Linked DNA regions of Canis lupus familiaris. The protein of the gene in region 4 interacts with the protein of the main gene of each other region in a pairwise test. Links are inferred from orthologs where the notes say so. Each region holds a gene or a part of one and is shown on either strand. Other genes may lie near its edges.

Region 1 (4,000 bases), on a different chromosome or scaffold from region 4:
GGAAAAAGGAATGGTTAACTAAGGGGTGAGAAAGAGGGCTGACCAGAGACCAGTACATGTCATACACGTTTGTCTGGGACTGTCTCTGTGGCCTCTTGTAGTTCTGGTGCTTAATGTAGACATTTTCTTTAAAATGTACTATTGCCTGAGCCCGGCGGAAGGTGGGAATGGGGAAGGAGGGAAGCTGAAGGAAAAGTGAAAGCTTGGGTGGGGGTGGGGGGAGATGGAAGGAAGGGAAGGTAACTGAACCTTAACTTGACAGCTATGTACAACACACCGGGCCCCCTCCACTCCCTTTGCTCCAGGAATCAATGCCTCTTTTATATTTGGTAGCTTGTGCGGTTTCTCCTCCTTATTGTGTGTGTGTGTGGGGGGGGTGCAGGGTGGAGAGGGAAGACGCATCCTTCATTGACAATGAGAAATTATGTGATTTGTCATGCGCTTGGATTGTGTTATTAGTATTATAATAATTACTATAAATATTAATAATAAAGTATTATCAGCGTTATTTCTTCTTCCGAGACTTTCCTCGCCCAATATTTACAAATACCGCACAGTGCCTCGGCGGAGGAGAAACAGAGTAAGGGGAGGGCAGAGACGGAAAGAAGGAAAAAGAGAGGGAGGCCAGAGAAAAGTGGAAGAGGAAAGATGGAGGGGGAGAAAGCAAGGACGGCAAAGATGCTGGAGATGAGGAAGGGGAGGGAAGAGGGGGCTAAATGATCAGGACAGTACCACCGTTTGCAAAAGGCCCTCGCCAGCTGTGTCCAAACAGGAGGAGGCTGCTTGTGCTCCTTGCGGACTGGGGGCGGGTGGTGGAGCCGGAGGAGCACAGGGACCCTGGCACGGGAGGCCAGGGGACAGAGACGAAGAGGAGGCGTCGGAGGGGGTGCAGAAGGCAAAGTCCCGGGGCTGCCTCTCCAGCCGGGTTTCTTTGGCTTGGGCTGGGGCCTGGCCGCCCGCCGGGGGCAGCCCCCTGCCGCCGCGATTGCTGCTGCAGTGATCCCGCTCGTACTCCTCCTGAGCCCTCTGCATCTTCCGCTTCTTCATCCTGCGCTTGTGGATGTGGAAGGTGGAGAGGGACAGCACGATGAGGCAGAAGATGAGGGTGACCAGGACGATCAGCACCAGCGTGGAGGAGAAGGACTGGAAGAGCTGCTGTCCCACCTGCGTGATGCAGGTGCCGCCTCCGCTGGCGCCTGTACCCGGGCCGCGGGCACTGGCGTTGCCGCTGCCGCTGGCGTTGGGGGAAGCAAAGGTCCGGTTGAGGAGACACGGCGGCAGCGCCAGCCTCAGCTCCTTGGGCGCCCGGGCACTCATCGGCGCTGGGCTGGGAGGGGCCGGGCCCACCAGACTTCCTCTCTCAGGCACACGGTTCCCACCAGCCAAGAAGAGGACGGAGCCCACGCCACCCAGAACTACTCCCTGGTGCGGGAGGGGATGCGCGCGCGGGCGAAGGGCCGAGGGAGCAGCCGCGGGCGAGCAAGCCGGCGGGGAAGCGAGCGGCGCCCGGGAGATCCTCGCCGACCCCGCCTGGAACGCGTGTCCGCGCGCCCTCTTCCTTTCCCAAGGCACCAGGCTGCAGAGAGAACAGGCTCAGTTAGGATCCCGGCCGCTGCCCGGGGGGGCGCGGAGGGCCGAAGGCGCGGCCCCCGGGCACCCCGCGTCCGCCGGGCGCTGCCCGCCTGCTCCGCAGCCGCCGACCCCGCCCGCCCCCGGCCGCGCGCCCTCGCCCCCCGCTGGCAAGGGGTCTGCGCCCGCCCCGCCGAGAGCCAGATTACTCAGCAGATGAGGCAGCTCCCGGCGCCCCCACAACTTTCTAATCGCAACAGACACGCCGCCGCCCCGGAACGCGGTCCCTGCCGCCCGAGCCCCGCTCTCCCCCTTCCTTCGCCCTCCCGGTGGATGTCTCCCCCTGGATCCTACCTTCCCGGCACCCACCCCGGCCGCCGGGCGAGCGGGCTCCGGGTACGCAGTCCTGCCTGCTCCTCCCTCCCCCTCCAGACTCTTCTTCCCTGGCCGGCTTCAGAGCCCTCAAGTCCCATTCCCATGGGGGCACCACAGCAACCACATCCTACTCCGCCTCTGTCCGTGGCCGCGGCTGCCGCGCTGGATCGCGCTCCATCCTTTCTTCTGCCTCCTTCCCTGGTACCTCCCCCCACACACACCAGGAAAAAAAAAAAAAAAAAGGCAGCTGAAACACCTTTTTCTCAGCTAAAGCACGTCCCCGCAAACGCCCCCTTCTCTCCGTCTCCCTGTGCCCCGCACTCGGCAGTATCCTGCTTCTTTCTAGGGGGACGGGAAACGGAAGGCAGAGGGTTCTCGTTCGCAAAGTTTGGGGAACGGACCTCCCCTCCAGCCTTCCCAGCCCCAGCCGAGGCTCTGTGCGGGGACCCGAGCCGGGTAGACCCGCAGCGCGCAGCACAGCCCCTCGCCCGCCCTTCTCCAGAGGCAGCTGCAAACTGTTGCACTGCGGAGCAGAGGGGAGGCGCGCGAGCCGGGGCCGGGCCGGGTGGGGGCCGAGGCTGCCGCGGGGGGGCCTGCGCAGGCCGCCCCTCTCGCGCCCCGCCACCCGGCAGCTGGGACCTTTAGCGGCACCGCGTCCCTTACCTGGGCCACTAGCTGGCTGCAGGGAGGGAGCCCCCGCCGCGCGGCTGCAGTGGCGGCTGCAGAAGGCGCGGAGTGAAGGGGCCGGCGACCGAGCCCGGCTGCCGCTGCCGCTGCCGCCGCCGCTTCGGGGAGCTCAGCTCGCAGCCTATTGCCAGAGAGGCCGGTGACGTCAGGCAGCCACCGCTAGGGCTCCAAGCCACCCCTCGGGCCCCCACCCCACCCTCATACCCCAACATCTCGTCCTGGCAGAGTGAGCCTCTGCCACACGCATTCCTAGTTCCCTGTCCTTCCCCTGCCAGGGGCTACATGCGAGGAGCAACCCCCACCGTGGCACCGGGAGCAGCCCACCTCTGCACTCCTATGCCTCGGAAGGAGGAAGCCCTGCCCTCAACCCTTTTCCACATGGTCCCAGGAACACGTTTTTACACCCCAGAGAGCCATCTCCCCCCCCCCCCCCCCCCCCCGGGTACACATTTGATTCCTCTCTCTCTCTCTCTCTCTCTCTCCTCGGCTGATGAGGATTGTTCTCCTCTGCAAGCCTGTCTATGCTGGCCTGGTTCTGTACGGAAACTGCGTGAATATGAGAAATGAGAAGGGCATTTCTGAACGCGTGTGGCAGAGCATAAAATACAAACCTGAACACGTATTTAGTCACGAACAATGCAAATTAACCGTTTTCCTCTCCACCAGAGTCTTCAACTTACCTCTCACTCCACCTGACTCATGTTTCTCCTCTACTCACTCACACACTCATCTTCAGGCCCAAAACCCACTCCATATATTCAACATTCATTCTCTTTTAATGTGTGCTTTGTGTGCTCTCGTGAGCACACAAAGCACACACAAGGCTTATAAGACAGGAAGGCAAAAACAACTCAGAGGAGTACAGAAATAAACTGTCCTATGAAAATTTTGAGTGTACCCCTTACTTTGCCGTAGTGTTAACAATAGCCTTTCAGCGAAACAGATAGAACTTCCTGCAAGATTCTCATCAGCCTGCCTAAATCTAGGCAGAGATTAATCAACTCTTGCTTTAGGGCCTTTGGAAATACATGAACAGTACATCGGGTTACAGTAGGCAACTTTAAAATGAAGTATTCTCATTTTTATATAGGAGGAACCAGCTTGGAATAGCCCGTAAAGACACTGTATGATCTTAGGAAACATTCCATTGTCTTATAAAATGTGCCCTTCCTTCTTCTCTCACTGTCTCGTTTTCTTCCCATCTTTGAGTCTAACATATTTACTTGCAAAATTGAGTGGTGCAGTAAATATTGCTTTTTGCTGCTCTGCATCCAAACTGGGAGACAGCAGGGATGACCAACACCTCCCTATCTGCCTGCTAGTAGACGGTTTTATAAAAAAGAGGGTTTGACACAGGGAGCAAAAGTTT
Region 2 (1,915 bases), on a different chromosome or scaffold from region 4:
TTCTCAAGCTTGTATAATGTGGTGAACTAGAAATTGTTGCATCATACTCTATAACCAATAGCCACAGACCTTGCAGCTTCATAAGCTAATTTTTTATATCTGTTGCAAAAGAAGATGTTAAAATAATAAAAATCAAGACATCAAAACATCAAACAAAACCAGGCTATTTAGATTTCGAGTAATCATTTTATTGGACAAAAGCAAAAATACAAATTTTCTTCAAGGTCTTCTAGAAAGATAACATTATGATAATGGTGGCAAGAGAAGTAAACCAAAATGAGGACACAAACTGGGACAGTTTCACGTATTGAATATTCATTTAAGATGATGGGTTCTGGAGGTAAAAAGCACCAAATATTTGTAGAAGCAGTTTAACCATTGATAAATAGCTATTGATTCGTCCTGGAGAATATAGGATAGATGTTTTGGGAATCGAACTACAAAAATAGGACCAAATAAATGTGGAGGCTTTCTCTTTGCATTCAATTTCAACAGTATGTTTAGTAGAAGGTAGAGAATCCATATCCTCCATAGCACAGTGGGCGGTCGCAGCCATATCTGTAGCCTCCCCAGCCCCAGCCCAGTCTCGGGAAGCTGCCACATCCCCAGCCACTGCCACAGCCCAGGCCACCGAAGCCTCCACAGCCATAGCCCAGGCCTCCATAGTAGTTGCCGTAGTAGCTCATGGTGTCAAGGGTGGTGAGTTGGCGGTTGAATGCAAGAGTCAGAGTGTGAATGTCGACATCTTTACAAGGAGGCATATATACTCTGATCAGAGAATGTGACAAAACATGTGCCCCTCCTTTGGTGTCATTCCATGAATTATATTTGCCTGACCCAACGTATTAATCTGTGGTCCCCCGACCACACTTACAAGAATGCCTAAACCTGCTTGGCTACATAGTTAGGTTGTAGAGCAGAGCTTGCTGCTATAATCTTCTTAGAATGATTTGATGTTTCTTCAAAGTATTGACATACCAAACCCTGAATAGAGTACTCGAATGCCAGTCACTTGACATCAGTTACATTAAATATTGTTGAATTTCTAATTAAATATCTTCTCATCACTGGCATTTGAGGGTTGTTGTAATTAGTTCTACAAAATAGCAAAAAATAATTAAAATCAAGTCCCTTAAGCTTACCAATTTCTTCACAAGGCACGCATGTATTTTGTATCATGAGAAGCAAATGATGCACCTCTCTTTAGAATATAAAAGAATATTTTAAGTCAAGACAGATTTAGTTCACCTGCCACGTGTACCAGGAAACAACAACCACAAAAGCTCACCTGATTTCTAGAGTTTTAAAATTTGGGGCATGTACAATTAATAGATTTAATTTTGGCTTTAAATACAACATACTTATTTTGGTTCAAATACATAGCAGGGGCACCTGGGTGGATCAGTGGTGAAGCATCTGCCTTTGACTCAGTTCGTGATCCCAAGGTCCCAGGATCAAGTCCCACATCAGGTTCCCCTAGGGAGCCTGCTTCTCCCTCTGCCTATGTCTCTGCCTCTCTCCCTGTGTCTCTCATGAATAAATAAAATCTTTAATAAATAAATACATACATTGCAGAATTGTAATCACTAGTGGAAAGACTATCACTCTGATCAAAAATCCATCTTGTGAGAAGTCTTCCCACAGTACTTTTTTAAAATATATATCCTGAGTGCTTTCTCTATAATACATTCTAGTCTCACTGCTACCACAAATGCAGATTACATTTGGCTTCCTACATCATTTCCCCCTCTTTCTCTGCCTTCATCATTTATCCATTTATCTTAGATCTTTTTCAAATCTCATTCAAAACACCACCCAACTTTCTTCCTCCATGAATCATTACTCCAACCAGGTATAAGTATGAGGTGGGGAAATGGTTTTGGCTCTAATTACATATTCAAAAGAACACAGCATC
Region 3 (4,068 bases), on a different chromosome or scaffold from region 4:
TACGCATGCTTGAACTTGGCTGCCTTGATCACTATCCCAGAACTTTCTAGGCCGGCACAGTCCAGTAACACTGTGATGATTAAAATGTTCTGTGCTGGCCAACAAGGCAGCTGTCAACTATACGTGAGCACTTGGAATGTAGCTAGTGAGATGGAGGAAATGAACTTTCAATTTTAATTCATTTCAATTAAATGGCCACATATGGCTAGTGACTGCCACATAAGACAGAGCACTTCCACAATGATCATGATTTCACCATTGAACAGGTGTCCTAAGAAGGGAGGTTAAGACCTACTTACCTTACAGGTTACAATAGTCCCCACATCTGGTAGCAATTGAGATTCTGTTTCTCTCATCACAGAAATCACAGGAAGCTATAGACAGAACAATAAAATGTGAGATCCTGACTAAGCCTTCCATAAAGGTATCTGGCTTAAGAATAATGTAGGAATGCTTTGGTCCACAGCTGAGATCACAAGCACAGATGGACTACAGACTCATATGTGCCCAGGGCAGACAGTCTTAGAAATTTAAGGCAAATAGGAAGGTCAAGGGGCCATTTTTCAAAAGAAAGATGCTACCAGAAGACATAATCTAATCATTTCAGAACAGTTCTAACAAGTTTTCTTTTTGTGGTTTTCTTGGAATTTCTTGGTATATAATCAATTGTGGATAACTTGACTCTTCTCTTCAAAGTTCTACTACTTCCTTCTGATTTTCACTCTATTGTACTGGCTAGAATTTCCAAATAAATGTTATATAATAATGGCCATACTTTATTTTTTTCTATTTTAAGGGAATACTTGTAGCTTTCCCTTTGAGCATGGTATTGGCTATTGGTATAAAATATGTATTTTTTAAAGATTTATTTCAGAGAGAGAGAGAAAGCATGCGCAAGTGGGGAGAGGGAGGGAGAGAATCTCAAGCAGATTCCCCACTGAGGGGGGGAGGGGGCACTGACACCGGACTTAATCCCAGGACCCTGAGATCATGACCGGAGCTGATATCCGGAATCGGACGCTCAACCAACTGAGCCACCCAGGCACCCCAAGACATATTTTGAACCTCATCTTTTACTTGCCTCTTCCTTGTTTCCTATGCTTCAGTTTTCGGACCTTCATTCAGTTTCACTAACGCACTAAACATGTTCCCATCTCAGGATTTGTGTTCAACCTGTTCTTTCTCCCAGGACTGTGCTCTCCACTCAACTCTTTTTTTTTTTTTTTTTTCCCCACTCAACTCTTCTTTATCCTTTAGATTCAGGTTAAACATCACTTCTGTTGACTACAATGGGTTTGTCCTTTACATGTTCTCATGGTAACCTGTAATATTCTTTCAAAAACAGTCATGACTTTTGTAGCCATAAACCAATTTGAACCTTTACTTGTTTGTAATTTATGTCTGTGTCCCTTGGTAGCAGGGATCATGTGTATTTGGCTCATTACCATATCTTTAGAGGTAAAGATTGTGCCTGGCACATGAAAATGCTCAATAGATATCTATTTCTATGAAACGAACAAACTTAGAACTGTTACAGTCTTAAAATTGATTAAAAAGTCTTTCATTTTACATCTGAGCAAAAACTAAAACCAGAGAGATCAAGTTTCTAACCTAAAGCAGAAACAAGGTCTAGTTAGCCAGTACCTAAATGTTCTAATTCTGAATTCTCTATTAATGCTCCCTGTCTTTAAGGGGGTCCTTCAAAGACTGTTTATCCGATCCTGGGCTAATCCTGGATCAGTGTTAAGCATTCAACAAACATTTATTGAGCATAGGCTGCTGTGCTCAGCACTAAAGGTATGGTGGCAAGGTTTGTTTTCGTGGAACTTAGAGTCTAATAAGGGAAGAGTCTAGGAGGAACAGGTAACCGAATGCTTAATTTTATGCAAAGAAGAGCACACAGAGGAAAGAAATTTAGTTCTTTGTGAGAGTTTAACAAAACGAAAAATAAAAGCTCACAAAACTCCTTTCCCTGACTAGTGGGTCTAGGAGGGCTACTCTGATAAAAGTGACACTAGAGAGGCCATCTGAAAAGTAGGTGGGAATTAAAGAGGCTAAGGAGGAGATGGGCGCGTGACAAACAGCGTGTTCATCGTTCTGTGGCAGAAGAGAGCTTACCCCACCAGCGACAAAGAAGCCTGTGTGACTAGACTGCAGAGTGGGGTGGGAATAGCGGAGCAAGATGAAACCAGAAAGGGAGGCGACATCCGGACAAGATTCAGCTCACTGCAGGCGGAACCCGCCTCTGCTCGTCCCCTAACTTCCTTCCCCGAATGTCAGCAACAGAATCAAGCGGGACCACATCTGGCCTGTGGTGGCGAGGTGCCCAGCAGTGGAGACCTCAGCTGGAAGAAACTCGGAGACCAGCTGTTCTGCTGAGGTCCTAAAGACGCGTCCGCAGTGCCCTTTCCTATCGACCGCGAAATCAAAAGCAGCCTAAAAGAAAAGCAGAGAAGGAGGAAATGGGAAGCAGCCCCCTTTACCGCGCCATTCTCGCTGCTCTTCGTCAGGCAGCCAGCAAGCGACGAAAAGATGTAGCCGTGGCGAGTATAAGTGCCGCTGCCCGGGCTGCCCTCCTCCAAGTTACACAGACGTTCGCCTGAAGAGAAACGCTGCATCAGTCATGGGTCTTCAGAGGGTGTCGGTCATGCAGCCTTCCTGCCTCCCTGTCCCATCCAGAATTCGCTTCGGTCCCCGCACACTTACCCGGGATGCAGTACCTCACGGGCGGCGCCATGACTGCCACTGGAGGGAAACGAAGTCGGCTTCTCATTGGCCAAAGTTCAGGAGCAGTTCTGCAGTAAGAAACGCGCCAATTGGTGCGAATTATCACGTGGTCTTCGGGAGCACCTCCTCCGTCAAACTTTATTTCCCAGGTTGCTCCGGGACCAGGGCGGGGGCGGGGCTCCGGGACGCCTGCGCTTGCGCCTGTGGTCCAGGATGGGCTGGCAGCGGGTCCCAGTCTGCAGGCTGGTTCTTCGGGTGGCCGGCGATGGTTGGTTGGACTGAGACCGGCCCGGCCGGGTTGCAGAGCTGGCGGGGGTGGCAGTGAGCGGCGGCGGAGGCTGCGGGGTTCCATTTGGCTGACTGGGGAGTCGGCAGGCGGCAGGTAAGAGCGGAGCCGCGGCCTTTGCTCCCCAGTCCTGCCCTTTTTTGTAGGGTCGGGGCCTGTTTGGGGCCTTTTCGTGAGCTCAGGTTCCTGTTCTCTCGTTGTCGCGCCCTGCACGGCCGTGCCCTGCACAAGCCTGGGGGAGTGCACTCTCGGGGCAGCTGTAACGCTTGGAGCTGGAAGGAGGTTAGCCAACCCAACTTGCCCATTGTAGAGATTTGGAAACTCAGATCCAGAGACAGGATTTGACTTGTCCAGTGGCTCAAAGACAGTTCAAGGTAGAGCCCAAACCGGAACCCAAGGTTTTTTTTTTTTTTTTTTTTTTTTTTTACTTCTTCTATCGCACTTTGACCACACCACCCCATTCAGAAATAAAGCCTTTTCCGGATTTTTGTGACTGCAGCTTCAGGTCTTGCAGTCGGATCCTCTCAAGCGGAGCTCAGGTCGTGTGGGCCCATTCATAACTTTTTCTTTTTCGAGCATGTTAGTCCGGAAGGGAAGTCTGCACGTGAGTAGAATGCTGCTCTTACCGATGAGTGACAGCTACTGCTTAAGATAGGCAGACATCCCGAGAACAGCATCTTTGTCCATATGAGATTTGCTACGACTTTCATCTTAGTTTCTCTTGCCCTCTGGTGACTTTGGCATATGTCCCCTCCTGTGCAAACCCTCCAGCCCTCACCAATCGTTTCCCCTAGGAAAACAGATGGTGACTTAGAGCCTTGGAAAGAGGGGAGTGCTGTGGCCTTCAATCCCATCTAATCTGGTGGCATATGTCACTATGGCCTGTGGTTGCTACTGAGGGATCAGTGCTAAAGGCTTGCGCTTGGGGTGATAGTGAAGCTCTGCTTTGCCCTGATTCTCCATTCCCCACCCCAACACACATACACACAATTTTTTTTTTTTTTTGAGTTCTGTTTTAACTCAATTTCCTGAGAAATCAGGGACTCTATGTTCAA
Region 4 (4,107 bases):
CAGCTATGGGAGAACTTAAAAAGCAGGCGAAACATGTACTGTTTCTTGGACTCCAGGTAACATACCTGCAGGAACAAAGCCACTTGAAAGAATACCACAAATATCCTAACTACAAAATTCTGAAACCGTCCGTTCAGGTGTTCCCTCCCACGGATAAATGGGGTTTCTACCCCAAGGAACGCTCCGCCGCCGCAACGTTTTTAACTTTGTTACGGACGCACCACATAAAATTCACGCTCAGGAGTCAAAGTGCTATTAAAACAGCCAAGATGATCTCTTGGCGAGTTGTAAACTCTCAAACTCTTTTATTCGGCTTCCCCCACCCCACCCCAGCCGCATCGCCCCTAAAATTTACAAACCCTAATCACCCAGATTCGAGGTCTTTGACTCATCAGAGAAGAATGCAGCTGATGAGTTATCTATTAATCCAGAATGCCTCAGCTGGAAAGAGATCGCACCGAGAACTTTTAACACTGAAAAGGGAGGGGGAGGGGGCAGGGAACTGAAGGTGTCTCCCCGCCGAGAACTTTCCCCGAGTTCCTTCCTTCCTCACGCCGCACGCACAAACACCCCCCACTCCCAGCCCCGGTCGCAGACTCGGTCCCGACCCTCTGGGTCCCAGGAACCGGAGGTCACCCGGGAGTCAGCTCTCGATTCCGCTTTTAAAATCCCACGCAGACAAAGCTGAGCATTATACTTAGCAAACTCCGAAAAGTCCTCAAAGTTACGCAACTTTAGAAACGCGCTCTGCGAAGAGACCCCCCCCGCCGCCCCCCCCCCGGCCCGGGGCCACAGGTCGCGGCGAGGGCCGTGCCCAGACCCCGGACTGCGGCGCCCAGGTCGTGCCCCCGCCGCAGCGAGCCCCCCGGTACCTCTTCCTCCTGAAGGTTGGCCTCGCTCGGGGTGTTCTCCTTCTCGGCTTTGCCGCCGTTGTTCATCTTCCCGGTCCTTCCTCGCCGGGCAGGGCTGGGGCGCGGGGCTGGGGCGAGGGCGCGCTCGCCCGCTTGTCCCTTCCCCGGGCGCCGGGGCTCCCTCGGGCGGGCGCCGCGGGCTGCGGGGGCTGGAGCCGGGGCAGCGGCGGCTCGGGCTCCGCGGCGAGGCGAGGCGAGGCGACCCAGGAAGTGCGCGGGAGACACGGGGCAGGGCGAGGCGCGGGCCGGCGGGGACGGAGACAATCGGGACCGGGAGGGAGACCTGGAGAGCGCGGGCGGGCGGGCGGGCGCGAGGGAAGGAAGGAAGGAAGGAAGAAAGGATGGGGCGCGGGCGCGCGTCCCAGGAGGGAGCCCAGAGAGTTGGGGATGTGGCCGCGTCGGGGCTGGGGGCGGCCGCTGCCCGAGCCTGGCGGGGGCCGGAGGGAGGGGGCGAGGGGTGCCCAGACCCGAGGAAGAGGAGGAGGAGGAGGAGGAGGAGGAGGAGGAGGTGCGGGGCGCGGCTGGGACGCTGGGACCCGGAGAGCCGCTGAGTGCGCGCTCCAGGCAGGCTCTGAGAAGTACGGGATCCAAGCAGCTCCCTTTCTCTCGCCCTCCTCCCTCCCCTCTCTCCTCCCCCTCCCCCTCCTCCTCCTCCTCCCTCCGCCCTCCCTAGACGTGGGCTGCCAGCTTCAGCCCGGAGGGACGGGACGCGGGACGCAGAAGCCCCCCTCGGGAGGAGGGGCCGCCCGCGGCCGGATGGCGCGCGCCGGGGAGGGGCGGGGGGCGGCGGGCGGAAGCGGCCGACCCCAGCCCCCCGACTCGGCGGGAGGTCGGAGGGCAGGGGCCGAGGCGGACGAGGGAGGGAGGCCAGGTCCTCCCGCTTCCCCGGCCCCCGGGGGCCCCCGGAGCTGGCGAGCTCGCGCGGCGGTGCGCGCCCGCTTGGAGAGGGGCTTCGGGGCGCCGGGCCGGGCCCGCGCGACGCCCGGGACGCGCCGTGGGCTACCGCCGTGGGGATCGCGCCCCCGTCGCTCAGCCTGCCCTGCCTCTGCAGCACCGGCTCAGACCTATTTCCTCCCTTCCTACTTGGCAGCTCGAAATGACAGGATGCGAGAGAACGAGCGAGGTCCGGGGGCAGCCGGCTCGGGGCCGGCGTTTCCAGGGCGCAGCTTCAAACCCACCTCCCACGCCGGGCCCTCCCAGGCTCTCAGCCCCGGCCTTCGCCCTCTGCTAGGCTTCGCGCCCCCCTCTGCTCAGGCCCCTCTCTCGGCCCTCAGCAGACCGTCCTGGAATTGCTTACCTGCCTGCCTCCCTCACCCTTCCGGGGGAGCCTCCCCACAACGCAACGCCAGCCTCACCGTGTCCTTGTTTACCTTGATAATCCCACGGCTAGTTAAATACGCTACCGGGTATACAGTAGGCACTCAATAAATACTTGTTGGCTAAGTGACTGTTGCTCACGGCGAGCCGAGCTGGAGGCCAACCCAGATGATCTTCGGAGGGTCAAAGCCCCTTAAGGAAGAAAAAGGGCTCAGCATTCTGGGAGGGGGGCACCCAGTACCTGTTTAAGCACCACGCGCCAGAGGACTGCCTGGGTTCCGTTTCCTCACCTGCGAAATGGGAGTAGTTATAGTTACCTCCCAGGGGGGTTGTAATTAGAGGAGATTATAGGTTGGTAGAGCTAGAGCACCCAGCACTCATTCCTGCCCGGTGTAAGTTTACAGAACAGGGAAACTAGCATTATTATTAAGGAAATTTCCATTTTCCCGGGGCCATAGAGAGCTTCTCCATTCCTGTATCATAAACACATAAATTTAAAAGGGCCTCTATCAGAAGATTCTCCCTCACTTCCCACGCCCAGGAATTCTCTCACACGACATGCTGTTCCTTTCCAGCACAGTACCAATCACAACTTCTATTTATTTGCTCGCTTCACTGTTTATCTTTCTCTGCTCTCCCCCCTCCCCGCCAGACATTCTTCACCCTGTACTGGTTTAAGTGCTGCTGGGGGTGGGGTGGAGGTGGGGGTGAAGATAAGGCTCCTGCTTCTAGGGAGTTTTAACTGGTGTTGTGGAGACGAGACACCCAAAACAACTCCATGGCCACATGATCAGCGATCCTGGTTCAAATAGCAGAAAGCAGAGAAAATACTTGTGTGACGAGCGTTGTGAAGAAAAACAGAGTGGTAATTCTTGCATTCACTTACTGGGGTTTTCTTGGGTTGGGGGTGGGGGAAGTCTGAAGCTTTTGATAAATAGGTTTAATTGCTGTCAGGATGTCATGTGCCTCTGTGGGGGGGGTGGGGGGAAAGCGTATCCTGGATGAAAATAAACCAAGAAACTGTTGAACTTGCAATGGAAGTTCAGAAGAGGCAAAGGCCACCACGATTAATCTGGAAATTTGGAGAGCCTTTCCAATCCCAGTCCCTCCCTCAATTACGTAAAGAACCACGAGGGGGCAATGTGTTCCTGAGCAATGGCTGCGTGGTGGTCTTGGGCCCCTGCGCCACCAATAAACACAGGCCCTTTGCCCTCCTGGGCCATTGCCAGGTACTGAATACACTCCACAGAAAGATATTGTCTTGCTGGAGCCTGGCAAAGGCCCAAGAAAAGTGACAGTTGATCTAGTCATTGATGATTCCAGTCAGACTCCACTTACAAGTCGGTGGAAGGTGCTGTATGATTCCAGGATGCTGCTGCTACCTCCGTCCAGGGAAATGTGGCCTAATTCCAAATGTAGAACCTGATTCTTTTGCCAGCACTTTGTCCATTGTTAAAAGTCAAAGACATCTGGCATAAAAAAAAAAAAATAAGGGCTAGAAGAAGATCTTTGTCTGATTTGATCGTTGTGTCCCCAATATCTAGACAGTGCCTAACACATAGTAGGCTCTCGGTGAATATTTTTGAATAAATGAACACAGTCTTATCAGAGATTGATTTTCAGCCTTGAATGACATCACATCTTTACAAAGCCCCTGCAGGAGGGACTGAATAAGTGGAAGTGTCTCAGCATAGGGAGCCACCACAAGGACACTAGGCAGATTCATGGTAGTAGTCTTTAGGCATTATTTTGCAGGGGAGACCCACCTAGATAGAGAGCTTGCTCAGAATGAGACAACTGATGAGATTTCAAAAATAAATAAAATTGCAGGTATTTGGATGGCTCAGTGGTTGAGCATCTGTTTTTGGCTCAGGTCATG
Region 5 (4,259 bases), on a different chromosome or scaffold from region 4:
GTCAATACAAAAGCCTGGAGAGCCCAAGGTGGGAGGCTGGGGGTGCTGAGAGAGGAGCCATGTGGAGGTGGTGCCCACTCACCAGCGAAGCTGTAGCCTCCTGACCTTCTCAGGGCCACCCCGACACACACAGCATTCGAACTCGTAGAACCTGGAAGTGGGCGAGGGGGAGAGAGCGTGGAGGACTTATGAATAAGGATGGGGTGCGTAGGGGAGGTGAGCTTCAGAGGCTGGGGAGACATGGAGCTGAAGCAGCATGGGGGCCTGAGAGGGTAGAGCAGGGCAAGAGTATTCTCCCTTGGCTCCCAGAGAGCCAGCCCCATCTCACCTGTCCCCGTAGAGGAGCGGCTTGCTCAGACACTGGGTGCAGGCCTCATGGAACCACTGCAGGCAGCTCTGGCACTGCAACATTTTCAGGTTCCACCTGAGAGGGAACACAGGACTGGTGACCTCCAGACACTGCCCCGACCTGAATGGCCCCAAACCCTACTCACCACCTACTTCTGCTTTCTTCAGCACTCCCTTCATCCTATTTTTTCTCCTTCATTCCCCAGGATCCCCCCACCCACTCCATCATTCATTCCCTCCCCACCACTCCTCCACCCCTGTCCCTCATTTACTCACTCCCCAGGGCCACCACAGTAACAGTAGCTCTGCTGTCGGTTGCTCAGATGTCCAGCGTCCCAGTCTAGCCCCTTTAGTCCATATGGCAGTGACAGCTTCATGCCCAGCATGGCCCGGGCATAGGGGCCCTTCTTCAGTGCACCCCCCCTCTGCAGGGAGGAAACAGGCCACCTCAGACGGGTAGGGAACAGGAAGGCTTGGGAGAGGTGGTGGGGGAGGCTCCCACAGAATGGTGACCTTACCTTGGTGGCAATGGCAAAGACACACTGGCGACAGACCCAGGATGTGCCCTCTCCCTCTCCAGGGGCTGGGGCTCTTGGAACGTGGCAGTCCTGGTGATAAGCTGAATAATGATAATATTGATGGTAGACCATTTATTGCACAATATACCTGTGTGTGCTAGTGACTGGGATAGGAGGAGTCTGGGCCACCTCATTTCATCTTTGACTGTGATCTGGCTGCAGTAGATAAGTTACCCTTATTTTACAGGTGAGGAGACAGGCTCCTAGGGGCTTGGGAATTTGCCCAAGGTTTTATGGTTAGTAAAGGTGTATTTGAACCATCCTCTGTCTACAAAGCCCACACCTCCTGATTCCATGGCTATTTCTCCCTGTGCTGGAAGAGAGGTTACAGAGTTGAGCAGACTGGCCAGAGCAGTGGCTTGGGGACTCAGCCAGGACAGGTGGCCTAAGGATCAGTGGTGGAGGGAAGACTTAGAGGCAGCCTGGAAGGTTCAGGGCAAGCTAGACCATTTAGGTATCCTGCCCTCTCACCGTGGCGACACTTCTCACAGCTGACCAGCCGGTTTCCAGGGACCACAGTCTCAGAGCGACAGACACAGCAGAGGAGTTCCTCCCCGGGGAGGGCAGCTGTGAGGGAACAGTGTTGTGGGGCCTGTCCTTAAGCCCCCTTTACATCCCCCAAGCCAGGTTTCTGCTTTCCACAGCATGCATATATTTGGGCCTCTAAGGTCTCACCAGGGCTAATGTCTTTCCATAGAACCAGAAACTGGGAATCGTCCTCAAACTGGACCAGACACACCTCCCGGGAACTGTCCACCTGGAATGGATGAGCACAGGAGATGAAACAGGAATCGGAACTACATAAGGAGAATGGGGGGAAGGTAATAAGTCAGAAGTCAAAGGTCTTACTTTCTTGATGGTCCCCAAGTATAGCAGTCCATCCGTCCACCTGGCCAGCACATCTTGACCCTCCCAAAGTCGAGGCCTGGGGCCTGAGGTGGGAGCAGGGGAGGCTGGGTCCCAAAGTGGGGGGGCACCAGAGCGGCTCAGCCGGGGGGGCTGTGCCATTGCATCCTGGGGGGGGGGGCTATCCAGAAGTGGGATGGGAGAAGGTTATGAATGTTGAGAAACTGTCCCCATTTTTCTATGCCTCAAGGACTCAAGCAGCTGTGCTACCAGTCTCCAAATATGAAATACCTGGATAGGAAATCACACAGCACCCCTCCCAAGCTTCATGACTCCAGCTTTTCCAACTCTGGTGACTGGCTCTCCTCTCCCTAACACCCCCCACCCCCCAACCTAGTTCTCTAGTTTCCCAGCTTCCAGAGCTCCCCTGGGATACTGTATCCTGGCCTTGAGATTTTAGGAGGAATGATGGTTGCAGAAGCAAAGGTTACCATTCAGTTTCTACTGTCACCTTCTGTTTAGAGATACTGTAATTGGGGTGTTCTGCTACCCAGAGAATGTGTTTTGGGAGCTTTTCTGGAAATGTTTTCCAAATTAGAAACGGCTGCCTCCCCGGGCCCCTGTGTCTCCAGAACAATAATCCCGATGCCAGGTTATGGCAGGTCACCCTCAAATACGGGGCTCCCTGTCCCCCGGGTTAGATAACTTCCTTGAGTGCCCTGGGAGGGGGGCGTGTCCCAGTCCCGGTCTCTACTCCCCAGGACAGCGAGTCCGAGAGGGGACTTGAGTCAGCCCAGCGCGAGCTGATGCCTGGGCGGCGAGGCTCTCCCGCCCGCGCCCTGCGCGCCGACCCCCGGCTCCCTGCCCCCCCCCACGGGCGCCTCCCGCCGCCTCCTTACCAGTGACAGCTGGGGCCGCCGGGAGCCGGGCAGAGGCAGACGTGGGAGACCGAGGCGAACCCCCCGCGCGGGGAGGGCACGTCTGGGCGTCGGAGGGCGGGCAGGCAAGGGCCGGGGGGTCCCCAGGCCCAGCCCCTCCGTCCCGGCAGCTCTGGGGCGTATGACGCAGCAGCCAAAGCAGCGGCAGCGGCAGGAGGAGGCGGCGGGGGGAAGGAGGGGAGGGGAGGGGAGGGACAAACCGGCTCGGGGGGAGGGTAGTGGGAGGGGAGGACTGAGGGGAAGGAGGAGCCGGGGGGGGGGCGGGCACCACCTCACCCCACCTCCCTCACCTCCAACGGGCCTGGAGGGCGCCGAACGGGTGGCGGCCTCCCCACGGCTGGGGCGGGTGGAAAGTCAAGACCCAGTGCGAGAGGGAATCCCTGCAGCCCCTTCCTCGGAGGGAGATCCGCCCTCGGGGCAGCAGGGAATCCCCCCCTTCCCCGCAGCTGGTCTCCAGCCTGGCCCCCGCCCCATGCCACATCCGTTAACTGCCCCCCCAACCTCCATGGTCACTCCAAGTCCCGCCCCTCGGCCCCAGTTCACGACCCCGCCCCCCATTCACCCGTCCCGTCGCCCCCGCCACGCCCTCCTCCCTCGAGTGCCCCGCCTTCCTCCCGCCTTTGCCCCGGCCCCGCCCTCCCCGTGGTAAGTCTCCCCCCGCCACACCGCCGCCGCGCTTCTGCGCATGCGTGACCCCTCCCGCGCGCGGCACCTGGGTGGACCGAGCCCCTCCTTTGCCGGGCGGTGGCCGTTGGCGGTTGGCGCGAGCGAGTCAGCGGGCGTGCAGCCCACCCAGCGCCTGTAGGGCGGGTACACGGACCGGGAGAGCTAGTAGCGAGGCGGTAACGCCGCCGAGAGCCAGCCAATGGGCAGCGGGCGGGCCGGCCCCAGTTCTTCGAATGGGACGGCAAGGAAAGAGCGGGAGGGAGAGCCCGCAGTTTGCAGGAGGGCTCGCTGGCCCGGCCTCTGGACTCGGGCTTCCACTTTCCCGCACCCACCAGACGAGCTCTCCGCGTGGAGCTGGGTGGCCTGCGGCAAACCAGTGACGGCGGTCGGCCAGTGGGCACATCTCCTAGAGGCGGACAACCAGGGTAACCATCTAGTCTCCAGGAGATAGCCAGGTAGAGAAAAGCTGAAACCCTTGCTCTGCAAAACACAAATACTCGGCAGAGTAGACGATCCACAGTTCCCATTTTTACAGATACGGGCCATTGTTAACAAAACCTTTATTTAAAGAAAAAAAACTTGTTCTTTATTTGATAGACCCAGGTCACAGAGCGCCCCTCCCCCCAACAAAGCATCCTTCAGCGCCACCCCCACCCCCCCTTCCCAAACAGAGGATCTGGATCTGTCTTCATTTCCTGTTAGCCTGGGCCGTACCAATAACACACTGGTTCACCTGCGGGCAGAGGTTTTAGAATAAAAATATTTTGTGAGTAACCAAAATAACAGTTTTCTCCAAGATCACCCCCCACCCCCAATATTGGGGCTGCCCTCAGAAAATACTAAAACAAAGGCTCTGAAGGCAGATTCAGCCTGGTCTCAGTTA
Region 6 (4,045 bases), on a different chromosome or scaffold from region 4:
GAGGGAGAAGCAAGCTCCTCACAGGGATCTCGATGTGGGACTCGATCCTTAAACTGGGATCATGCCCTGAGCCAAAGGCAGATGCTCAACCACTGAGCCACCCAGGCGTCCCCAAATGGTAGTTTCTTAAAGAAGAGTTGCATCTTGGAATCTGAATCCCTATCAATGAACTTTTCATATTTTATTACATTAAAATCCACTAGTGTACCTTGCATTCTGAAAGGATATTTACTTATGATGATTGTGAAATATCAGCATTGGTTGCTTGGAAAATATAGATTTACTGCGATGCCCATCCTCCAAATGTTGACATATTTCACTACAAATATAAATATAGAAAATATTTAAACTGTTAAACCTGAGATGTCAACTTTTGACAAATTCTAATTTTCACTCTCAAATTTTTATCATTGGTAACAAATACTGTCAATTGTTTCCTCAAAATAACATGCTCGCCTCGTTGTCAAGAAAATATAAGCGCAACCTTAAAGTGTGAAAAACTGTAGTTTGTCAGTTCTTTCAAGTGAAAATGCTGTTCCATGAAACAAGCAGCTCATAACTCAATCTCACAAGCGCTTTTCCTTATGAGAAGGACCGTACCTCCTTAGTCAGCAAAGTACTTTATGCATCCTTCCTATTCGATCAAAGATTCTTAAAACTTAAAAAAACCATGTACCCAAGGGTTGAGATTTAACAAAAATCATTTCTACTGTTTCATCAAGGCCATTTTCACACGGTGTTTCGTGTAACTGCCTTGCTTTGTGCTAACGGACCACCAGTTTTACTCAGCTTTGCTTTTTGGACCATCAGTGCAAATGTCACTGGAAGAAAGATAAATAGTGTCTTAGTATTTTCTACTTTGAAAATAGTTATGACCTCTCAGGTCCCCTGGAAGGCTCTGAATGATCCCCAGAGGTCAGTGGGTCACCTTTTCCAAGATTATATCACTGGTTCAAGGTTGGGGTGGAAACGAACAAAATCCTGTTCATCCCAAGAGTCTTCATCTTCTTAGTTCCTTTAGTTTGAGATACATCACCAACGTGACCGGTGTGTCATAACCGTAGTATAAGGGGAAGGAAATCAAGGACGTAATTTGCCATGAAATTGTTTTAAGATTGTATTTTGAGCACTTTTACGCTAAATCAACAGTTCTTTATGTGGCGGTTAAAATTTAGAGAAGATAGCACCACACACACCCTCCCCTTCCCACCTGAAAAGACTTGAGGACGAAGCCCCTAACACAGCACTTTCAGCAACCTCCAAGGTACTTTTTAGCTATCCCGAACTTAAAGATCTAGAGAACGAGTTCGAATTCAGAGTCCAACTCCCGGTCCCAAGAACAACACATCATGGTCTGGAAATTCAATGTTGTTCACCAAGGAGCAGCCCTCTCTGCCCCGCTCTTTCCCCTCCAACTAGATGGGGAAACTCCTTTGAAAGTAAAACTCCATTTCTGCAGGGTTTTGAACTGCAGTGGGAGGTGTCTAGAATGTAGAAGGCTGAGCTACAACCCGCAACAAGGTGGTGGTTCTGAGATGGTAAAATTGTCTTCCCGTGTGCATCTCAGAGAGGAGATGGGGCCAACTGACTTCCAAGCCTCTTCCCATCTCTTTTTCTGGGCTAAAGAAGGCCCAAGACAAGTGAGCTGAGCTATGTCCACAGTTAGGAACAGCGTGGAGGAATCCCGCGTCTGGCGGGAGAGGAAAACAGGGTCAGTGGCAGAAAGGAGGGGAGGCAGGTGGATCAACGACATCAGTCCTCCCCAGGAGGTGCTGAGAATCTAGACAAAATAGTCCCCGGGAGGAACATGGCGCCCACCGCGGCAGGATATAATCAGCCGAAAGAAAGGTTTTCCGCCCCATTCCATTTTACAAATCACGGCGCCAACGCAGAGAAATTTTAGGGCCAAGGGAGGAGACTTGGTAAACTAACTGCAGCGCACTACGGCTTGGGAGGTACTAGTGGACCGAGCGGCGATTACGTAACACAAGGGAGCGGCACAGCGACCCCTCATTTTCCTCCTCGCGCCCGAACAGCGCCCCAGTCCTAGGGAGGCGGGAGGGCGCGGCGGGAGAAGCGAGCGCTCCCCCCGGGACGTCACCTCGGCGCGGCCTCGCCCCCCGCCCGCCGACTCGCAGCCGCCCGCCCCCTCCCCCTCCCCCTCCCCCTCCCCGCGGGCCACCGCCCGCCGCCCGCCCACTCCTCCGAGACGCCTCGCGCCCGGCGTGCGTGTGGACGTCGGTGTGTGCGGGGCCGTGGGGCGCGAGTGCGCGCGCGCGCGCCGCGGAGGACGCCGGGGGGCGGGGGCGGGCGGCAGGCAGGCAGGCAGGCAGGCAGGGTCCGCCCGGCCCAGACCGTCGCGCGGCTCCCGAGCTCCCGCGGCTCCGGGGGCGCACGCGCTCGCGAGCCGCGCCCCATGCCCGCCGCCGCCGCCCGGGCCGCGCTGCACTCGCGGGGAGCAGGGGCGCGCGCCACCGGGCCCCTGCCCCCACCCCCCGCGCCCCCGCCCCATCCCCCTCTCATTGTCTCGCCTCCGAGCGCCTCGCCGAGCGAAAAGATAACGGAACCCCCGGGAGAAGGGGGTGGGGAGAAAGAAGGCTCGCCCGCTCGCTTACTCACCTCCCGTGGTCGTCGCCGCCGGTAGTCTGACCCGAGGAAGGCGCCGTCGCCTTAAAGGGACCTCGCACCCGGCGCCGGGAGAAGGGGGTGGGAGCAGGGGAGGGGACGGGGGCTTGGGGAGACGGCTGAGAGGGAACCGTGGAGAGCGCGTCTCCCCGCGGGGGAAAGGAAACCTCCCTCGGGTTCCAGTGACTTGGGGTGGATTTTTTTCCCGAGGGGGGCGGGGGGGCCCCGAGGGAGGGGGTGGGGGGGCCAAGGAATGCGGCTCCGTGTACGGGAGCTGGCGCGGGGGAGAGAGACGCCGACTCCCCCCACCGACCCTCTCGCTCCGCGGAGGGATACGTCTCGTCACTTCCGCCCTCCCCCTCTCGTGGCCTCGCAATTGGCTGCGGCGTGGGACACGTCATGGGCTCATCCTAACCCCTGCCCGGGCTTCTTTTCCAGTCAAGTTTGTCTGGACCTGCAAATAAATAAATAAATAAATAAATAAATAAATAAAAAACATTTAAGAAAAATGAAATAAGAATAATTAGCTTCAGAAGCAACAGCTAAATCTTGATGAGGAAAATGGAATTTCCAAGGAAAATAGTGCCCAATTCACTTGCCTGGACTTTCCAAAGAAATTTTGGGCACCTCCTCACTTTCCACTCAAGTCTTGTACCTAACCAAGAGGAGAACCTCATGCCACAGGCCAGGTGGTGAGACCCAATGGCACCAACAACTGTCCTTGGAACAAAGGCAGCAGAATGGCACATACTCTTCATCAGGAGGCATTTGGCCAAGTAGCCTTGTGGCAGTAGTCTTAAGTGAAGAACTTTTAAAAGCTATTTTTACTCTGAACCCTACTGGATTCTGGAAATAAATCACATATATTGCTTATCAAAGTGACTCATGTATGGAAACTGCTTTGAAGCCGTTTGTCAATAGACTCGGCACAAATCCTCAATTCTAAGAAACCATAGATTCTACATCTGTGCTTTTTGCTCCGATCAAGGCTGAGGGGGATTGGCTCAAAGAAAGGAGTCTATTCAAGACCAGCCACCTGTAATTTTTCCCCGAACAAGAAGTACCTCTTTTCCAGGTATCTAAGAAATTTAGTCCTTTTTTTACTTTCAGAGATGATAATATTGTAAAATTTTCCTTGGATATGTGAGTATGTTGTTGCTCTCTAAGCAATACACAAATATTTACTCCAAGCCAATGTAGATCAAAGTACTTTGTGCAAGATTGGGGAGAATCAGAACCATATTTATTCATTTTTTTATATATGTGCACTTTATTCAACCACCAGACTGAAAATAGGCGATGGAATTAGGCATTACAAATTGCTCCCTCATGCACCTGTGTGTACACAATGCCGTCCATTTTCATTCCACTTCATCTCATTTCATACTAAGTACATGTGAATGATCTCAAAGTGTCATTT
Region 7 (4,289 bases), on a different chromosome or scaffold from region 4:
GCGACTCCGGGCGGGACACGGAATAGATAGAGGAGCCGGCGAGCCATTGTGCGCAGCCCGGGCGGCGGGGAGGGGGGGGAGGGGGAGGAGGGGAGGAGGGGAGGGAGGGAGGGAGGGAGGGCCGCGGGGGCGGGGCGGGGCGGGGCGCCGCGGCGGGCGGGCGGGCGGGCGGGCGCGCGGGGGAGGGATTCCCCGCCCCCGCCCCCGCCCCCGCCCCCGCCCCCGCCCCTCCGCGCGCCGCCCGCCGCCCCGCCCCCTCCTCCCCAATTAAATGACCCCACGCTTTGGCAGGCGCCGGAGCTCGCACATGCGGCCGCCGCTCCAGCCGCCCGGGGCCCGCCGCCGCCGCCGCCGCCGCCGCCGCCGCCGCCGCTGCGTTCCGGGCGCGCTCGGCGCGGCGCCGCCGGGGGCTCGGCAGGCCGGGGGGGCGCCCCTGCGAGCGGCCGTGCGCCCCCGCCCGCGCCCGCTGCCCGCCGCCAAACTTCGCGGCGCGCTCATGCCCCAAGTTGGGCGCGGCGGCGGCGGCGGGCGCTGAGGGCGGCGCGGGGCGCGGGGCGCGGGGCGCGGGGCGCGGGGGGCGGACGCGGCGCGGCCATGAGCGGGCGGCCGGCGCCGCTCTCCCGCAAGCAGCGGCTCATGGCAGCCGTGGGCGAGCGGGCGGCGGCGGGCGGCGGGGCCGGCGGGGGCGGGGGCGGGGGCGGGGGCGGCGGGGCCGGCGGGGCCGGCGGGGGCGCGCCGCTCTCCTGCTTCATCTGCGGCGGCGGCATCGGGCGCGGCAAGGAGCTGAAGCTGCAGGTGAAGCAGCCGGCGGCGGGCGCGGGGGCCGCGGCGCAGCCCTTCTTCCCGTTCCTGCAGCAGCAGGAGCCGGCGCCCGGCGCGCGCGAGCTGTGCCCGGCCGACGGCTGCGTGCTGGTGTGCGCCGTGTGCCGCTGCTTCCTGGGCGAGCAGTGGGCCGCGTTCGAGCGCGCCCGCACGCCGGTGGACAAGCGCATGTACTGGCTCAAGCGGCCGCACCAGTGCGAGGCGGGCGCGGGCGCGGGCGCGGGCGCGGGCGGGCGGCGCGGGGCGGCCGGGGGCCCCCGCGAGTGGAACGTCGCCTACGCGCTGGGCGGCGCGGCCGACGAGGCGCGGGACTCGGAGCTGTCGGAGCTGTCGGACGCCGACCCCCTCTCCGAGGGCGAGCCCGCCGCGCGCGACGCCGCCAGCCCCCGCCGGGACGGGGCGCCGGCGGCCGGGGGTCCCCCGGGGCCCGGCGCTCGCGGGGGCCGCGGCCAGGAGTGGAGGCCGGCGCCGGGGCCGCCCCCGGGACCCCCCGCGGGGCCGGGCGGCGCGCGGGAGGACGGGGCGCCCCCCTCGAAGCAGCGCGGGGACGCGGAGCCGCGGAGCGGGCCCCGGCGGCGGCGGAAGGCGGCCGGGCGGCACTGGGGCCCCGAGGCCCGCGCCAGCGTCCTCAGGGGCATCACGGACCCGTGGCGAGGCGCCCCCGGCCAGGGGGCCCCCGCCGACGGCGCCAAGGGAGGCCCTCCCGGCAGGGCCCCCAAGGGCCCCGAGAGCAGGCCGGCTGCGGACGCCCGCGGGAGCTACTGCATGTCGGAGGACAGCGACATCAACATCACCAGCGAGGAGGAGGACCGCAAGGAGCAGCCTCTCTCGGGCCCCAGAGACAAGGAGAGCGGCGGCTGCGTCCCCTGGGGCTCGCTGGCGAGCCGGGCGGCGCCACCGGAGGGCCTTTGCTGCTACATCTGCGGGTCGGCCCTGGCCCCGGCCTCGCAGCACCAGATCCACGTGCAGAAGCAGGAGAAGCTGGCCCAGGCCCCCTTCTTCCCCTTCCTGTGGCTGCACAGCCCCCCTCCGGGGGCCCAGCCCATCAGCGACGGAGGCAGCACCCTGGTGTGCCCGTGCTGCTTCTCCTCCCTCATGCAGCAGTGGCAGAGCTTCGAGCTGGCCAACGTGCCCGTCCTGCAGCGACTGTACGTCGTGCCTCTGAACAGCCACGCCCCCGGCATGGCCTCCAAGGGCCGGAGGCTCCCAAGGGAAGACGGCCCGCCTGCGGGGGCCCTGCCCGAGGCCTGCTACCTCTGCGGGGAGGACTGTACCCAGGACGCCCGGGCCGTGGCCTTCAGGATTCTCAACGGCAGCGCCCGGGGCTCCATGCATTTCCCCTTCCTCAGCCTCCTGCCCTGTCCCCCCAACGCCCGGGGCCCCAACAAGCGTTGCGAGGTCCGAAGCTGCCCCAAGTGCTTCAGCGTCCTGGAGGACGTCTGGGCCCTGTACCGGGCCTGCCAGAACGAGGAGCTTATCACCTCCGTGCAAGGCTTCCTGGGCAGGTACCACCAGGCCTTCTCCGCCTCGGAGCCCGCTCTCTGCGAGCCGCCTGCACCGGCCCGGGGCAGCCCGGCATCTGTCTGCTACATCTGTGGGGCCGAGCTGGGCCCTGGGAAGGAGTTCCAGCTCAACGTGAACCCCTCCAGCCGCCTGGGCGAGAAGGAGCCCTTCTTCCCGTTCCTCACCGTTTACCCGCCCGCCCCCCGTGCCAGGCCCGCCGACTCCACCGGCCTCGTGGCCACCTGTGTGCTCTGCTACCACGACCTGCTGGGCCAGTGGCTGCAGCACGAGGCCCGCAGCGCCCACCACACCGTCAGCGCCTGGTCTCGCCAGTACCAAGTGGAGACGTTCGTGTGCTTCTTTTGCCAGCAGGAGAAGAAGCGCTGTCTCGGACTCAAGGCCCTGCGGCTGGCGCGGCTGCCCTTGTTTCTCTATACCCTGCGAGCAAGCCACAGCCTGCTGGTGGACGATGGGCGGCAGCTGATCATCGGCGCCTGTGTGGAGTGTGGGACCCTGGTGTGTGCTGGCCCGGGGCTCGCCCGCCAGGGGTCCGTGGGTTGGAGCTCCCCAGTGGCAGCGGCGATGAAGGTAAGTCCTGGTTTTCTCTTCAGCCTCCGGTGATTTGAGTAGGAGAGGAAGACATGTTACTTTCTGTTCCTCTGCTGGGGAAGTGTTTGTACTGATTCCGTGTGATCTGTTCCAGAAGGAGCTTCCCTCCTGGGGTCACCGGGCCGGCGGCGCCTGGGGAGGGCGCTCGAGGTGGGGGTGCTGACTGAGCTGGGAGTCATGTGGAGCTGGGGGCACCTGGAGCGGGCTTGTGGAAGAGCAGGGCACTGCTGAACGCATCAGGCCTGGGCCTGAACTTGAGTGTGTGTGCAGCGGAGTCCGTCAAACAGAGGAAGTTCGGGGCACGTCTGTCATCCGCCTGATAACATTGGTAATTAGTCCGGCCATGCAGGTCACTGGGAGGTCTGTGCACTTACCCGGTTGGAAATGCAGCGGAGGTGGCAGTTCCTCTCCGTGCTGGCGCTGGCACCGCTTCGCTCCTGCAGTTTTCCCCCAAGTTCACACTTTTCCTCTGAGGCTCTCCGGTTGCTTCACAGCAGATGGAAACAGATTTTCAGACGTGGGGGTTTGGGACCCGGGGGACAGTGGCCTAAACAGACTTTCCCCCTGATGGGAAGAGAGGCTTTCTTCTCTGCAACTCAGCTGTGCAGGAGGGGGGGCGGCAGAGAGGCGGGGGGGTGTGTGTGGTGGCTGGCGTGTGCCCTGTTTATAAGGCGCCTGCCTTCACGCTGCCTGCCCGGGAGGAGCCAGACGGGCCTCAGTTAATTTTGGATTAGGCTTTGCAAGGGCCAGGACAGGACCTGCCTGCAGTGGGTCTGGGGAAATAGGTGTTTGTGAGTCGGGATCACCATGTACGGTGATGGCTACGGCGGGGGGGGAGGGGGGGGGGGGGTGTCGGGGAGGGGGCGGTGTCGTGAATCCTCATCGCCTGGAGGCCTGGTTTATTATAATCAGATGCCTGTAGTGGGAGCCACCAGCGAGGGGCCCCGCAGAGGGCCCCGTGGATGGGGAAGAGCGGCTCGGGCTTGTTCAGGAATGATTGTTGCATCTATTTGGAAGGATGGAATCCCCGTGTGTGGAATTCCTGGCTTATGCGTTCACTCTCAGGGGAGGTTGCATCTGTAAAGTGGGCGCACTGTCCCGCTTCCCTCCAGTGCTTGCCCTATGCTCTGCTCTGCCCAGGCTTTCTTCATGCTCTGCCCAGGCTTTCTTAATCTGCCAGTGTCCCTTTTGGACCATAGAGATGTAACTGGGGGCTTTGGTAGTGGTCCTCTTCTTCTAAATGGATGCATGTCTCATTCCCCCCCTGTGGGTACTGGACTTCTCATTTGCAGCCTGTGGTAGTCCAGTCTGTGGGGTCTGCTGCTGGGAGTCTGAAGAAGTGCTGTTTCCAGAAG

What was found.
Region 1: the proteins of RBPMS (region 4) and C5H11orf87 interact in binary tests that used the Homo sapiens proteins (3 or more experiments, as listed by UniProt). The two-hybrid records come from large-scale screens. The link is inferred for Canis lupus familiaris from reciprocal best matches to the Homo sapiens genes RBPMS and C11orf87.
Region 2: the proteins of RBPMS (region 4) and keratin-associated protein 19-7-like interact in binary tests that used the Homo sapiens proteins (3 or more experiments, as listed by UniProt). The two-hybrid records come from large-scale screens. The link is inferred for Canis lupus familiaris from reciprocal best matches to the Homo sapiens genes RBPMS and KRTAP19-7.
Region 3: the proteins of RBPMS (region 4) and EXOSC1 interact in a two-hybrid assay, tested with the Homo sapiens proteins (2 studies listed by BioGRID). The link is inferred for Canis lupus familiaris from reciprocal best matches to the Homo sapiens genes RBPMS and EXOSC1.
Region 5: the proteins of RBPMS (region 4) and PHF1 interact in binary tests that used the Homo sapiens proteins (3 or more experiments, as listed by UniProt). The two-hybrid records come from large-scale screens. The link is inferred for Canis lupus familiaris from reciprocal best matches to the Homo sapiens genes RBPMS and PHF1.
Region 6: the proteins of RBPMS (region 4) and POGZ interact in binary tests that used the Homo sapiens proteins (3 or more experiments, as listed by UniProt). The two-hybrid records come from large-scale screens. The link is inferred for Canis lupus familiaris from reciprocal best matches to the Homo sapiens genes RBPMS and POGZ.
Region 7: the proteins of RBPMS (region 4) and GSE1 interact in binary tests that used the Homo sapiens proteins (3 or more experiments, as listed by UniProt). The link is inferred for Canis lupus familiaris from reciprocal best matches to the Homo sapiens genes RBPMS and GSE1.

What each region holds. Positions count from the first base shown.
Region 1 is NC_049226.1:23,323,554-23,327,553, forward strand, and holds the start of C5H11orf87 (uncharacterized protein C11orf87 homolog), read right to left. Parts: upstream 2,801-4,000; 5' UTR 2,608-2,800; intron 2,150-2,607; exon of another isoform or gene 2,143-2,149; 5' UTR 2,049-2,142; coding exon 1,924-2,048; intron 1,577-1,923; coding exon 721-1,576; 3' UTR 1-720.
Region 2 is NC_049252.1:25,888,098-25,890,012, forward strand, and holds keratin-associated protein 19-7-like, read right to left. Parts: upstream 687-1,915; coding exon 501-686; downstream 1-500. UniProt on the Homo sapiens protein: In the hair cortex, hair keratin intermediate filaments are embedded in an interfilamentous matrix, consisting of hair keratin-associated proteins (KRTAP), which are essential for the formation of a rigid and resistant hair shaft through their extensive disulfide bond cross-linking with abundant cysteine residues of hair keratins.
Region 3 is NC_049249.1:10,920,242-10,924,309, forward strand, and holds the start of EXOSC1 (exosome complex component CSL4), read right to left. Parts: upstream 2,801-4,068; 5' UTR 2,774-2,800; coding exon 2,707-2,773; intron 2,600-2,706; coding exon 2,484-2,599; intron 2,437-2,483; exon of another isoform or gene 2,119-2,436; intron 375-2,118; coding exon 300-374; intron 1-299. UniProt on the Homo sapiens protein: Non-catalytic component of the RNA exosome complex which has 3'->5' exoribonuclease activity and participates in a multitude of cellular RNA processing and degradation events.
Region 4 is NC_049237.1:34,777,312-34,781,418, forward strand, and holds the start of RBPMS (RNA-binding protein with multiple splicing), read right to left. Parts: upstream 2,801-4,107; 5' UTR 2,519-2,800; intron 2,421-2,518; 5' UTR 2,282-2,420; intron 1,195-2,281; 5' UTR 939-1,194; coding exon 873-938; intron 408-872; exon of another isoform or gene 393-407; coding exon of another isoform or gene 369-392; intron 1-368.
Region 5 is NC_049233.1:2,998,893-3,003,151, reverse strand, and holds the start of PHF1 (PHD finger protein 1), read right to left. Parts: upstream 2,801-4,259; 5' UTR 2,672-2,800; intron 1,954-2,671; 5' UTR 1,935-1,953; coding exon 1,776-1,934; intron 1,684-1,775; coding exon 1,602-1,683; intron 1,494-1,601; coding exon 1,398-1,493; intron 968-1,397; coding exon 867-967; intron 774-866; coding exon 625-773; intron 425-624; coding exon 329-424; intron 152-328; coding exon 83-151; intron 1-82. Other genes in the region: kinesin-like protein KIFC1, read right to left, coding at 4,065-4,109. UniProt on the Homo sapiens protein: Polycomb group (PcG) that specifically binds histone H3 trimethylated at 'Lys-36' (H3K36me3) and recruits the PRC2 complex. Involved in DNA damage response and is recruited at double-strand breaks (DSBs).
Region 6 is NC_049238.1:61,167,856-61,171,900, forward strand, and holds the start of POGZ (pogo transposable element with ZNF domain), read right to left. Parts: upstream 2,801-4,045; 5' UTR 2,620-2,800; intron 320-2,619; 5' UTR 209-319; intron 1-208. UniProt on the Homo sapiens protein: Plays a role in mitotic cell cycle progression and is involved in kinetochore assembly and mitotic sister chromatid cohesion.
Region 7 is NC_049226.1:67,907,270-67,911,558, reverse strand, and holds the start of GSE1 (genetic suppressor element 1), read left to right. Parts: upstream 1-1,489; 5' UTR 1,490-1,587; coding exon 1,588-2,913; intron 2,914-4,289.